Anolis sagrei: one gene and its partner. The protein of the gene in region 1 interacts with the protein of each later gene in a biochemical or structural test. Links are inferred from orthologs where the notes say so. Each region holds a gene or a part of one and is shown in the gene's direction. Other genes may lie near its edges.

Region 1 (7,263 bases):
TCCTTGGAGACTAGGACGCAATGGGACAATGGCTTCAAACTACAAGAGAGGAGATTCCATCTGAACATTAGGAAGAACTTCCTGACTGTGAGAGCCGTTCAGCAGTGGAACTCTCTGCCCCGGAGGGAATGTGGTGGAGGCTCCTTCTTTGGAAGCTTTTAAGCAGAGGCTGGATGGCCATCTGTCAGGGGTGATTTGAATGCAATATTCCTGCTTCTTGGCAGAATGGGGTTGGACTGGATGATGGCCCAGGAGGTCTCTTCCAACTCTTGGATTCTATGATTCTATGAAATGAAAAGTTAGCATAACTCAAAAACCACTGGAGGAATTGACATCAAATTTGGACACAATACCCATATCAGGCCAATGAGTGACCATCACTCAGAAAAATACTGCGGAAGAGACTTAAATGGTCAAAAAAATAAAAAAATACACTACACTGCATGCACATAACCATATTGTTCCGCTTGACATTAAGTCCAGTCGTGTCCGACTCGGGGGTGTGGGTGGGGTGTTGGTGCTCATCTCCATTTCTAAGCCCAAGAGCCAGCGTTGTCCGTAGACACCTCCAAAGTCATGTGGACGCCATGAATGCATGGAGCACCATTACCTTCCCGCTGGAGAGGTACCTATTGATCTACTCACATTTGCATGTTTTCAAATTGCTAGGTTGGCAGAAGCTGGGGCTAACAGCGGGAGCTCATGCCACTCCCCGAATTCAAACCTGCAACCTTTCGGTTAGCAAGTTTAACAGTTCAGCGGTTTAACCCACTGCGCCACTGGGGGCTTCGGCATAACCACATGTGTATTTATGCATAAACAATATACACAAATATATACACACACATATTTATTTATTATTTATTTACAGCATTTATGCATAAACATATATACACATATATACACACACAAAACACATATACACAGACTCGGTCACAGCAACATGTGGCAGGGGACGGCTAGTGCATATAAATAAAAATGCAATGTTCATTTGTGGGATTAACACAACTCAAAAACCACTGGGCAAATTGACACCAAATTTGGACACGACGCACCTATCAGGCCAATGAGTGACCATCACTCATAAAAACACTGAAAAACACAGTGGAAGGGACTTAAGAAGCCAAATAAAAAATACATTGCAAAGCATGCGCAAAACCATATACACCCACACACATACATATATATGCAAACACACATATATACACAGATACAAAAATATATACACACACATATACACACACAAAACAGATATACACAAACTGGGCCACAGCAACATGTGGCAGGGGGCGGATAATAATAATAATAATGATAATAATAATAATAATAATAATAATAATAATAATAATAGTATCCTAGACACTAGGGAGTGTCTGACGTGTGATCCAATACAACAGCCAGCAGAATGTCTGCTGTGGACTCATCTTGTTAATAATAATAATAATAATAATAATAATAATAATAATAATCTTTTAAAAAAAGGAGACGGAGGAGGGCCTGATTCTGGCAGCACAAGAACAAGACATTCGAACCAAGGCCATCAAAGCCAGAATTGAAAAGTCAACAATAGATCCCAAGTGTAGACTCTGCAAGGAAGCAGGTGAAACAACAGATCCCATCCTCAGCTGGTGCAAGAAGATTGCGCAGACAGATTCCAAGCAGAGGCACAACACCCTTGCTCAGATGATTCATTGGAACTTGTGCCAGAAAGACCATTTGCCTGCCACAAAGAACTGGTGGGATCACAAGCCGGAAAAAGTTACAGACAATGAACACGTCAAACTATTCTGGGACTTCCGGATTCAGACAGAGTGAGTTTTGGAGCACAATACTCCTACCACATGATCGTGTTAAAAAACAAAGTATGGATCATCGATGTTGCAATCCCAGGTGACAACAGGATTGAAGAGAAACAACTGGAAATAATAATAATAATAATAATAATAATAATAATAATAATAGTCTATATCATTTACTGTGACATAGTTTTGGTGTCAGTAAAATAATAATAGGATAATAATAATAATAATAATAATAATAATAATAATAATAATAATAGGATGAAGTGCTTTTGCTCTTTGACATACAAACCTCACTGCATACTCCCACCAGTGTGAATCCTGACCTCAATAGTTTTGGGATGCAAGAAAAGTTGGTGTCTAAATATTATTCTTATTGCAATAATAGTAATAATAATAATAATAATAATAGGACAATAATGGGATAACAATAATAAGAGGATGCAGAGCTTTTGCTCTTTGACATACAAACCTCACTGCACACTCCCACCAGTGTGAATCCTGACCTCAATACTTTTGGGATGCAACAAAGTCGAGGTATAAATATTATTCTTATTGCAATAATAATAATAATAATAATAATAATAATAATAATAATAATGGGATAATAATAATAAGAGGACACAAACCTTTTGCACTTTGACACACACCCCTCCCTGCACACTCCCACCAGCATCCCAAAAACTCAGCCAGAGTGAACCCAGACCCCAGTATTTTTGGGATTATTATGATTATTATTATTATTATTATTATTGCAGTAAGAATAATATTTATACCCTGACTTTTGTTGCATCCCAAAAATAGTGGGGCCTGGGTTCACTCTGGCTGAGTTTTTGGGATGCAACAAAAGTCAGGGTATAAATATTATTCTTATTGCAATAATAATAATAATAATAATAATAATAATAATAATCATAATATACGATAATAATGGGATGATAATAATAACAATAATAATAATAATAATAATAATAAAAAGGGTGCAGACATTTTGCTCTTTGACACACACCCCTCCCTGCACACTCCCACCAGTGTGAATCCAGACCTCAATACTTTTGGAAGGCATGAAAAGTTGGTGTATAAATATTATTCTTATTGCAATAATAATAATAATAATAATAGGATAATAATGGAATAATAATAATAAAAGGATGCAGATCTCTTGCACTTTGACACACACCCCTCCCTGCACACTCTCACCAGCATCCCAAAAACTCAGCCAGAGTGAACCCAGACCCCACTATTTTTGGGATTATTATTATTATTATTATTATTGCAATAAGAATAATATTTATACCCTGACTTTTGTTGCATCCCAGAGTATAAATATTATTCTTATTGCAATAATAATAATAATAATAACAGGATAATAATAGGATAATAATAGGATAATAATAGGATAATAATAGGATAATAATAATAATAATAATAATAATAATATAGGATGATGATAATAATAACAGGAGGAGGGGGATGCAGACCTTTTGCTCTTTGACACACACCCCTCCTTGCACACTCCCACCAGCATCCCAAAAACTCAGCCAGAGTGAACCCAGACCCCACTATTTTTGGGATTATTATTATTATTATTATTGCAATAATAATAATAATAATAATAATAATAATAATAATAATATAGGAGGAAGATGCAGACTTTTTGCTCTTTGACACACACCCCTCCTTGCACACTCCCACCAGCATCCCAAAAACTCAGCCAGGGTGAACCCAGACCCCACTATTTTTGGGATTATTATTATTATTGCAATAATAATAATAATAATAATAATATAGGAGGAGGATGCAGACCTTTTGCTCTTTGACACACACCCCTCCTTGCACACTCCCACCAGCATCCCAAAAACTCAGCCAGAGTGAACCCAGACTCCACTATTTTTGGGATGCGACCAAAGTCGGGTGAGTTTGGCTTGACTTGGGGGGGTGTTGGGAAGAGCCCCCTTTCCCTTTGGGTGCCTCTCCTCCTTCCTCCTCCTCCTCCCCTTCAATTGCCACGCAACCCTTTGGCTTCTCCTTTGCCTTCAGCAGATTTTTGCTGAAACTTCTCCTCTCCTCCTTCTCCTCCCTCTTTCTGTATTATTTTTTCCTCCTTTTTTTCCTGAAAAGCTTCCAGGCAGAGAGAGAGAAAGAGGAGATCTCTGTCCTAAAATGCCCTTCTCTCCTTCCCTTCCTTCTTTCCCTTCCTCCCTCCATCTTCCCTGAAGAGAGGAGTGGGGGTCCTCCTGGACTTTCTTCCCCCTCCAGCCCCCTCCACCCAGCTTGGGGGGAGAAAAAAGGGGGCTGAGCCTTGGGATTGGAGCCCGCCCCTGCTCGCAAAGAGAAGAAGGGAAGGAGGGAGGGGAAAAGAAGGGCAGAGGAAAGAGAGAGAGAGAAGGAGGGAGGGAGGGAAGGAGGGAAGGAAGGAGGAGGGAAGCCCTCCCATCTCTTCCCACTTCTCTCTCTCTCTCTTCCCCCCCCTCCTCTCTCTCTCTCTCTCTCTCTCTCTGTCCCCTTTCCCACTCCTGCTTCTTTCCCCCATTCTTTCCCTCTCCTGTCATTGGTCTCGCGTGTTTGTGGCGTTCCGTGGGTCATTTCCCGGGACGCGCCAGCATGCCTGCCTCCCGTGGGGGCTTGCTTGTCCTTCTCTCTTGCCTGGTCCTGGGACAAGCTTTGGATTTTACCGACTACAGTGATGTTTTGGAGGAAGAGGAAGAGCCAGAGCCCATTGACTACAAGGATCCTTGCAAAGCTGGTAAGGACAAGGCTTCCCATTGCCCTAGACTAGAGAGAAAGAGAGAGGGGTGCCTGGGCTGCTCACCTTTGGGGTCTCCTTACCTGCATGGACTCTCCCTGGAGCCCCTTCTTGCTGGGACAGAAGGATGGGACTGTCAGGATGGGGGTCTTTTGGGTCTACACAACAAGGGAGCATAGTGGGACTGTCAGGATGGGGGTCTTTTGGGTCTACACAACAAGGGAGCGTGATGGGACTGTCAGGATGGGGGACTTTTGTGTCTACACAACAAGGGAGCATGATGGGACTGTCAGGATGGGGGACTTTTGTGTCTACACAACAAGGGAGTGTGATGGGACTGTCAGGATGGGGGACTTTTGTGTCTACACAACAAGGGAGTGTGATGGGACTGTCAGGATGGGGGACTTTTGTGTCTACACAACAAGGGAGTGTGATGGGACTGTCAGGATGGGGGTCTTTTGTGTCTACACAACAAGGGAGCGTGGTGGGACTGTCAGGATGGGGGACTTTTGTGTCTACACAACAAGGGAGCATGGTGGGACTGTGAGGATGGGGGTCTTTTGGGTCTACACAACAAGGGAGCGTGATGGGACTGTCAGGATGGGGGACTTTTGTGTCTACACAACAAGGGAGCGTGGTGGGACTGTCAGGATGGGGGTCTTTTGTGTCTACACAACAAGGGAGCGTGGTGGGACTGTCAGGATGGGGGGTCTTTTGTGTCTACACAACAAGGGAGCGTGATGGGACTGTCAGGATGGGGGTCTTTTGTGTCTACACAACAAGGGAGCATAGTGGGACTGTCAGGATGGGGGTATTTTGTGTCTACACAACAAGGGAGCGTGATGGGACTGTCAGGATTGGGGTCTTTTGTGTCTACACAACAAGGGAGCGTGATGGGACTGTCAGGATGGGGGACTTTTGTGACTACACAACAAGGGAGCGTGATGGGACTGTCAGGATGGGGGACTTTTGTGTCTACACAACAAGGGAGCGTGGTGGGACTGTCAGGATGGGGATCTTTTGTGTCTACACAACAAGGGAGCGTGGTGGGACTGTCAGGATGGGGGTCTTTTGTGTCTCTGGAGAGCCTGGACCCAAGTCCAGCCCATTGCTTAGCTGGCATCTGGCAGGCAAAACAAAGGAGGGAAAGTTTCCCTTCCAAACCCAAGCCCCATCTCTGGAAACAGAGCCACACAGCCCGGAAAACGCACAACAACCCGCTCTGACAATGCACGAAACACCATTTTCCCAAAGCTTCTCAAAGTTCAGACCCCACGAAACACCGTATCTCTCTTTTCCCAAAGCTTCTCAAAGTTCAGACACAACAAGAAAAGCCTCTTTGTCCCGAGGAAAAGTTTCCAGCTTGGAGAAAAGTCAGGCTTTGTGGACTTTGTCCCACCCCCCCCCCCTCTTATTCCAAAAGGAAATTCAGCTGAGCATTGATGTGTTTTCCTCTCTGTCCCTCCAACAATGCCTTGTGTGACAGGGGCTCTTTGTGCGGGCAGGGTGGCAACGGAAAGGGACCTGTGTTTGGGGGGTGTTTGTGGGTCGCAAGGGAAGTAAACACAGGCAGAGCCCAGGATGGCGGAGGCGGTCGGACTGGGCCGGCACACTGTGTCCTCCTCTTTTGGGGACAGAATTCTCCGCTTTGGGCAGAATCTGTCAACGGTGAGAGACACTGTGGCCGAGGAAAGGCATTGGATAGCCTTCGGTCAGTGGTTCCCAACTTTCCTAATGACCCAATAGTATAGTTCCTCCTGTTGTGGTGACCCCAGAGCCCAGGATGGAGGCATTCGGACTGGGCTGGCACACTTCGTCCTCCTCTTTTTGGGGACAGAATCTGTCAATGGAGAGAGACACTATGGCCAAGGAAAGGCATTGGATGGTCAGTGCTTCTCCACTTTCCTAATGCCACGACCCCATAGTATAGTTCCTCCTGTTGTGGTGACCCCAGAGCCCAGGATGGAGGCATTCGGACACACTTTGTTCTCTGCTTTTGGGGACAGAATTCTCCACTTTGCAGATGGTTTGAGGGCAGAATATGTCAACGGAGAGAAACATTGTGGCCGAGGAAAGGCATTGAATGGCCTACGGTCAGTGTTTCTCCACTTTCCTAATGCCACGACCCCGTAGTATAGTTCCTCCTGTTGTGGTGACCCCAGAGCCCAGGATGGAGGCATTCGGAGTGGACCGGCACACTGTGTCCTCCTCTTTTGGGGACAGAATTCTCCGCTTTGCAGATGGTTTGAGGGCAGAATATGTCAACAGAGAGAGAGACTATGGCAGAGGAAAGGCATTGAATGGCCTACAGTCAGTGTTTCTCCACTTTCCTAATGCCACGACCCCATAGTATAGTTCCTCCTGTTGTGGTGACCCCAGAGCCCAGGATGGAGGCGTCGGACTGGACCAGCACAATGTGTCCTCCTCTTTTGGGGACAGAATTCTCCACTTCGGGCAGAAACTATCAACGGAGAGAGACATTGTGGCCGAGGAAAGGTATTGGATGGCCTTCGGTCAGTGCTTCTCCACCTTCCTAATGCCATGACCCCATAGTATAGTTCCTCCTGTTGTTGTGACCCCAGAGCCCAGGATGGAGGCGTTCGGACACACTGTGTCCTCCTCTTTTGGGGACAGAATTCTCTGCTTCGGGCAGAATCTGTCAACGGAGAGAGACACTGTGGTCAAGGAAAGGCATTGGATGGTCAGTGCTTCTCCACC
Region 2 (7,039 bases), on another chromosome or scaffold:
GATTAGAGAGATGGGCCAAAACTAACAAAATGAAGTTCAACAGTGACAAATGCAAGATACTCCACTTTGGCAGAAAAAATGAAATGCAAAGATACAGAATGGGGGACGCCTGGCTCGAGAGCAGTACGTGTGAAAAAGATCTTGGAGTCCTCGTGGACAACAAGTTAAACATGAGCCAACAATGTGATGTGGCGGCAAAAAAAGCCAATGGGATTTTGGCCTGCATCAATAGGAGCATAGTGTCTAGATCTAAGGAAGTAATGCTACCCCTCTATTCTGCTTTGGTTAGACCACATCTGGAATATTGTGTCCAATTCTGGGCACCACAATTCAAGAGAGATATTGACAAGCTGGAATGTGTCCAGAGGAGGGCGACTAAAATGATCAAGGGTCTGGAGAACAAGCCCTATGAGGAGCGGCTTAGGGAACTGGGCATGTTTAGCCTGAAGAAGAGAAGGCTGAGAGGAGATATGATAGCCATGTATAAATATGTGAGAGGAAGCCACAGGGAGGAGGGAGCAAGCTTGTTTTCTGCTTCCTTGGAGACTAGGACGCGGAACAATGGCTTCAAACTACAAGAGAGGAGATTCCATCTGAACATTAGGAAGAACTTCCTGACTGTGAGAGCCGTTCAGCAGTGGAACTCTCTGCCCCGGAGTGTGGTGGAGGCTCCTTCTTTGGAAGCTTTTAAGCAGAGGCTGGATGGCCATCTGTCAGGGGTGATTTGAATGCAATATTCCTGCTTCTTGGCAGGGGGTTGGACTGGATGGCCCTTGAGGTCTCTTCCAACTCTTTGATTCTATGATTCTATGATTCTATCTAATCCAACCCCCTGCTATGTAGGAAAAGCATAAACAAAATACTCTTGACAGATGGCCATGGTCTTTTTCTGGAGATACGAAAGACTAAAACATGGACCTTCCTTTTTCTTCTTATGGTCCATGTCCATGCTAAGAAAGGCATCTAGCTTATAAAGTACAGACCCTGTATCCATGGGGGATATACACACACCCCCAAATGGGAAGTTTAGTTTCACAACCCTGGGTTTTTTGAGCTCCCTACAAATAACTTGCTTCTATTTTATCTCATTAGAGTTTTTAAACATTTTATCCTGTACATGTGGCCCACCCACTGTCATTGTGATTGTGTTTATTACAATGTTATTTTGTTACTGTTTTCATGTTTGTTTGTTTTTCATGTAATTTTGATGATGTTGCTTGTTGTTTATGTTTTGGTTTTATTTTGCTGTAATATGTTGTCCAGGCTCAGCCCCATGTAAGCCGCTCCGAGTCCCCATTGGGGAGATGGTGGCGGGGTATAAATAAAGTATTATTATTATTATTATTATTATTATTATATATTCCTGGACTTCACATGGATACATGAAACTGTGGACAATACCAAACCCTATTAGAGTAGAAGACTGCTGGCCCAAGAATATTATAGAGCAGGCATGGGCAAACTTCGACCCTCCAGGTGTTTTGGACTTCAACTACCACAATTCCTAATGGTGGTTAGGCAGTTAGAAATTTTGAGGGTTGAAATCCAAAACACCTGGAGGGCCAAAGTTTGCCCATGCCTGCTATAGAGTCATGCTGGGGGATCTAGAAAATACTAGAGAGGATGCATTTCATCTAACTTGGATACATGAAACTGATGTTATGGGTGCAGAAATACATATCAGGTTGTTATCCATGTTCCTACTGTATTTGGCATCCTTGAAGTGACTGGACTGACCTTGAAGGAGCTGGGGGTGGTGACGGCTGACAGGGAGCTCTGGCGTGGGCTGGTCCATGAGGTCACAAAGAGTCGGAGACGACTGAACGAATGAACAACTGTATTTGAGTATTTGAGTATGATTAGTAACCATACTCTAGATCACACTTGGATCCTTCTGGTGTTTCTGGCATCATCTCCCAGAAGTTTTGACCATTGGGAAGGCTAGTGAAGGCTTCTGGGAATTGAGGTCCAAAACAACTGGAAAACCAAAGTTGGGAAACCCCTAATCTAGAGTGTTAGATAGGGACAGACATGAGACAGTACTGAGGCTGAAGTACAAAGCTGCTTCTTCTTGCAAAGCAGGTCCCCTGCCAACAAGCAATGGACCATTTCTTCCCTTAGCCATTTCCCACTCCACAAAGAGATCGGTCTCATTTTAAGGGAAGTAATGCTACCCATGCTCTATTCCACTTTGGTTAGACCACACCTGGAATACTGTGTCCAATTCTGGCCACAGCAATTGAGAGATATTGACAAGCTGGAATGTGTCCAGAGGAGGGTGACTAAAATGATCAAGGGTCTGGAGAACAAGCCCTATGAGAAGCGACTTAAAGAGCTGGGCATGTTTAGCCTGAAGAAGAGAAGGCAGAGAGGAGACATGATAAGCCCTGAACGGTTTGGGACCTGCCAACCTGCATGACCGCATTTCTGTGTACGAACCCACATGATCTCTTTGATCATCTGGAGAGGCCCTACTCATGCTCCCACCTGCATTGCAAGCGCATTTGGTGGGGACGAGAGAGAGGGCCTTCTCGGTGGTGGCCCCTCGACTCTGGAACTCACTCCCTAAGGACATCAGGCATGTCCCATCTCTGGCAGTCTTCAGGAGGAGCTTGAAAACGTGGTTGTTCCAGTGTGCCTTCCCAGAATAATGAACCCTTAGCATTATGTCCTCCAAAAGCACTTTATACCGATTTAGGTCTGCTTGTATGTCTCCATCAACGCCCCACCTCCTTTATCTTGTTCATGCCTAGCATTATTTTTTAAACTTCAACTACATCTGGCCCAGCCATAGATTTTAAATGTACACTGTACCTTGTCCAATGTTTATGCTATTTGTGTATGAGATTTATTTTAATTGCTTTGTACTGTATTTGTTACTGCTTGTATTGCTTGTATTGTGGGCTCGTCCTCATGTAAGCCGTACCGAGTCCCTTGGGGAGATGGTAGCGGGGTATAAATAAAGTATTATTATTATTATTATTATTATTATGTATAGGGAAGAGGGCGTGAACTTGTTTTCTGCTTCCCTGGAGACTAGGACGTGATGGAACTACAAGAAAGGAGATTCCATTTGAACATTAGGAAGCACTTCCTGACTGTGAGAGCCGTTCAGCAGTGGAACTCTCTGCCCGGGAGTGAGGCTCCTTCTTTGGAAGCTTTTAAACAGAGGCTGGATGGCCATCTGTCGGGGGTGCTTTGAATGCAATTTCCCTGCTTCTTAGCAGAATGGGGTTGGACTGGATGGCTCATGAGGTCTCTTCCAACTCTTTGATTCTATGAACAACAACAATAATCCCCTCTCATCAGTCAAAAGCAGGCCCACACTTCCCATTGAAATACTAATAAGTTTATATTTGTTAAATGTGTTCTTCATTTTAATGATTTTATTGTTTTAAATGTATTTTGCACTACAAATAAGATGTGTGCAGTGTGCATAGGAATTCATTCATGTTTTTTTTCCAAATTATAATCCGACCCTCCAACAGTTTGAGAGACTGTGAGCTGGCCATCTGTTTCAAAATGTGTGAGGACCCCTGATCTAGTCCAACCCCATTCTGATAAGAAGCAGCAAAAATGCATTCTGTGCCATGTCAAGAGTTCCTTCCTATGAAGAGAAAATGGCCACAAGGATGCGGAGAAAGAAGTGAGAGAGGTCTCGAGGGACTCTCGACTGCGCCACCAGGACCTGGAGCGAATTTCCACGGCGCGTCCTGCATGGAAACACACCGGTGCGCGTCTCCGGGCGTGGAAGTTCCCCGTGGAAGCTCCACGCGCGGGAGGGGGCTTTGGGGAGGCCAAACGGGGGGCGAGGGAGAAGTTGAAGAGAGGGCCAGCCGCCTCTGAGCCTTATTCCCACGGGAGACTGTCGAAACGGGCGTGTCGGGATGGAATTGGGGTGCAAAAGGAGTGAGGACCACTCCGAGAAAGATGTGCGGGGATGAGAAGGGTTGTTGCCTCGAAGAAGCGCCTCTCTAGGGGAGGCTGGGAAGGGGAGATGCAAGTTGGGGACCCCTCCAGTCCCCTCCCCTCCCCGGCGGCGGGCGGAGCTTTCCTCCTGGTCCGCTCCTGGTCCGCTTGGGCTTGCTTTCTTGCTTGCTTCCTCGCCCTCCTTCCCTTGGCAAAGGCCGGGGGCTGGAAGCTAAAGCGGAGGGGACCCGATCCACCTCTTTTCCCCCCTCCTTCCTTGCTTCCCTCCCTCTTTTCCTGCCCCCCGCTGGGTCTGTCCTCTGCTGCCTCCTCCTTCTGTCTCTCCCTCTCCCCCCCCTCTCTCTTTGCCCCCCAAGATGCCCCCTCCGGCCTCTTCTTCCTCCTCCCCCTCCTGCTATAAAACCCTCCTGGGCGCGGGGCTGGGGCAGAGGGAGCCGCGCTGAGTGACCACTCCTCCAAGGACCGCTCCCGCCGCCGAGATGACCCCCTTGCTGCTGCTTCAGCTGGGCACAGGCAGGGCGCACCGGGCACCTCCTCCTCCTCCTCTTCTTCCTCCTCTTCCTCTGCTGCTGCTGCTTCTCGGCTTGCCTTGCCTGTCCCTCGCCCGCGCCCCCAAAGCCCTCCTGCCCATCCAGCCCGAGTCGCCGGACCCACTGCTGAATGCCAAAGGCGCGCCAGGTAGGAAAAGGGACCTGTCCTGGCATGCCAAGGAAGGAAGAAGGAAGGGAGGGAGGGAGGGAGGGAAGAAGGGGCAAAAGGAGGAGCAGAATGGGCTCCCCTTTGCCTTCCTATCAGGCTGAGAAGGTGTGACTGGCCTGGTCGCGCCAACCAAAGAAGAATCAAGATCCTTGAGTTGCTATTTTGAGTTTTCCCCATTTCCCAGAAGCATCCTCTCCTGATGTTTCGCCCACATCTATGGCAGGCATCCTCAGAGGTTGTGTGGTCTGTTGGAAACTAGGCAAGTGGGGTTTATATATCTGTGGAATGATGTCCAAGATGGGAGAAAGAACTCTTGTTTGTTGGAGGCAGGTGTAAATGTTGCAGCTAGCCACCTTGATTAGCATTTAATGTCAATAATAATAATAATAATAATAATAATTTATTATTATTATTATTATTATTATTATTATAAGTTTATTTGTACTCCACTAGCATCTCCCGAAGGACTCAATGTGGCTTACATAGGCCAAGGCCTCAAAACACAATACAACAAAACAACACCTAAAGCAAATTAAAAACAGTTAAGCAGTATGAACAACAAGCAATAAACAATACATCAAGACACTATAAAAACTGGGCCAGGCCAGAGTAATGGGTACAAGATTAAAAGTGCTGATGTGGCAGGAGGTATGTAGGATTATAAAGTAAGTGCAGTGTGCAGTGTGCAGCAATCTTAGTTCTACTAAAGTGCTTCTAGGACTTGGTATTAGAGATTCCTATTCTGGAAAGGCACATCAGAACAGCCAAGTCTTCAAGTTCTTTCTGAAGACTGCCAATGTAGGGGCCTGTCTAAGATCTTTGGGGAGGGTGTTCCAGAGTCGGGGGCCACCACAGAAAAGGCCCTGTCTCGAGTCCCCACCAAGCGTGCTTGCGACGCAGGTGGCATCGGGAGCAGGGCTTCTCCAGATGAGCGAAGTGAATGTGTGGGTTCATAGACGGAGATGCGGTCTCGCAGGTAGGATGGTCCCAAACCGTTTAGGGCTTTTTAGGTAAGCACCTGCACCTTAAATTGGGCTCGGAAGATAAACGGTAGCCAGTGGAGCTCCTTGAACAGGAGAGTTGACCTCTCTCTGTAATGAGCCCCAGTAAACATCCTGGCTGCTGCTTGTTGGACCAGTTGAAATTTCCAAGCCATTTTCAAAGGCAGCCCCACGTAGAGCACATTGCAGTAATCCAATCTAGAGGTTTTATTCATTTATTTGCTTCACATCACACTAGAGAAAAAAAATCCACCTAAAATCTGGTTTCTGCCTCCTGCAGAATTCTGGGGTCTGTAGTTTAGTGATGCTGTTAAAGCCTCCTCCCTAAACTATAAACCCCAGAATTCTGTAGGAGGCAGAAACCGGATTTTAAGTAGATTTTTTGGTATAGTGTGATGAGAACTTTAGAATCATAGAATCCTAGAGTTGGAAGAGAGACCTGGTGGGCCATCCAGTCCAACCTCATTCTGCCAAGAAGCAGGAAAATCGCATTCAAGGCACCCCTGACAGATTGCCTCTCCTCAAAGCAAATGGTGAATCATAGAATCAAAGAGTTGGAAGAGACCTCATGGGCCATCCAGTCCAACCCCATTCTGCCAAGAAGCAAGAATATTGCATTCAAAGAACCCCTGAGAGATGGCCATCCAGCCTCTGCTTAAAAGCTTCCAAAGAAGGAGCCTCCACCACACTCCGGGGCAGAGAGTTCCACTGCTGAATGGCTCTCACAGTCAGGAGGTTCTTCCTCATGTTCAGATGGAATCTCCTTTCTTGTAGTTAAAAGCCATTGTTTCGCGTCCTAGTCTCCAGGGAAGCAGAAAACAAGCTTGCCCCCTCCTCCCTGTGGCTTCCTCTCACATATGATAGCCACATACATGGCTATCATATCTCCTCTCATCCTTCTCTTCTTCAGGCTAAACATGCCCAGCTCCTTAAGCCTCTCCTCATAGGGCTTGTTCTCCAGACCCTTGATCACTTTAGTCGCCCTCCTCTGGACACATTCCAGCTTGTCAATATCTTTATTGAATTGTGGTGCCCAGAATTGGACACAATATTCCAGGTATGGTCTAACCAATATTCCTGGTGTGGTCTAACTATGAAGTACAACATAGTTAAAATGCATAGAAGCATAGAATCCTAGAGCTGGAAGAGACCTCATGAGCCATCCGGTGCAACCCCAGTCTGCCAAGAAGCAGGAAAATTGCATTCAAAACACCCCCAACAGATGGCCATTCAACCTCTGCTTAAACGCCTCCAAAGAAGGAGCCTCTCCCACACTCCAGGAAAGGGGGTTCCACTGCCGAACAGCTCTCACAGTCAGGAAGTTCTTCCTAATGTTCAGGTGGAATCTCCTTGGCTGTAGTTTGGAGCCATTGTTCCACATCCTAATCTCCAGGGCAGCAGGAAACAAG

What was found. The genes of interacting proteins can lie anywhere in the genome.
Region 2: of the proteins of BMP1 (region 1) and CHRD, one has a biochemical effect on the other in vitro, tested with the Homo sapiens proteins (3 studies listed by BioGRID and IntAct). The link is inferred for Anolis sagrei from reciprocal best matches to the Homo sapiens genes BMP1 and CHRD.

The regions. Positions count from the first base shown.
Region 1 is NC_090027.1:1,873,633-1,880,895, reverse strand, and holds the start of BMP1 (bone morphogenetic protein 1), read left to right. Parts: upstream 1-4,188; 5' UTR 4,189-4,403; coding exon 4,404-4,545; intron 4,546-7,263. UniProt on the Homo sapiens protein: Metalloprotease that plays key roles in regulating the formation of the extracellular matrix (ECM) via processing of various precursor proteins into mature functional enzymes or structural proteins.
Region 2 is NC_090023.1:261,954,196-261,961,234, forward strand, and holds the start of CHRD (chordin), read left to right. Parts: upstream 1-3,986; 5' UTR 3,987-4,409; coding exon 4,410-4,608; intron 4,609-7,039. UniProt on the Homo sapiens protein: Dorsalizing factor. Key developmental protein that dorsalizes early vertebrate embryonic tissues by binding to ventralizing TGF-beta family bone morphogenetic proteins (BMPs) and sequestering them in latent complexes.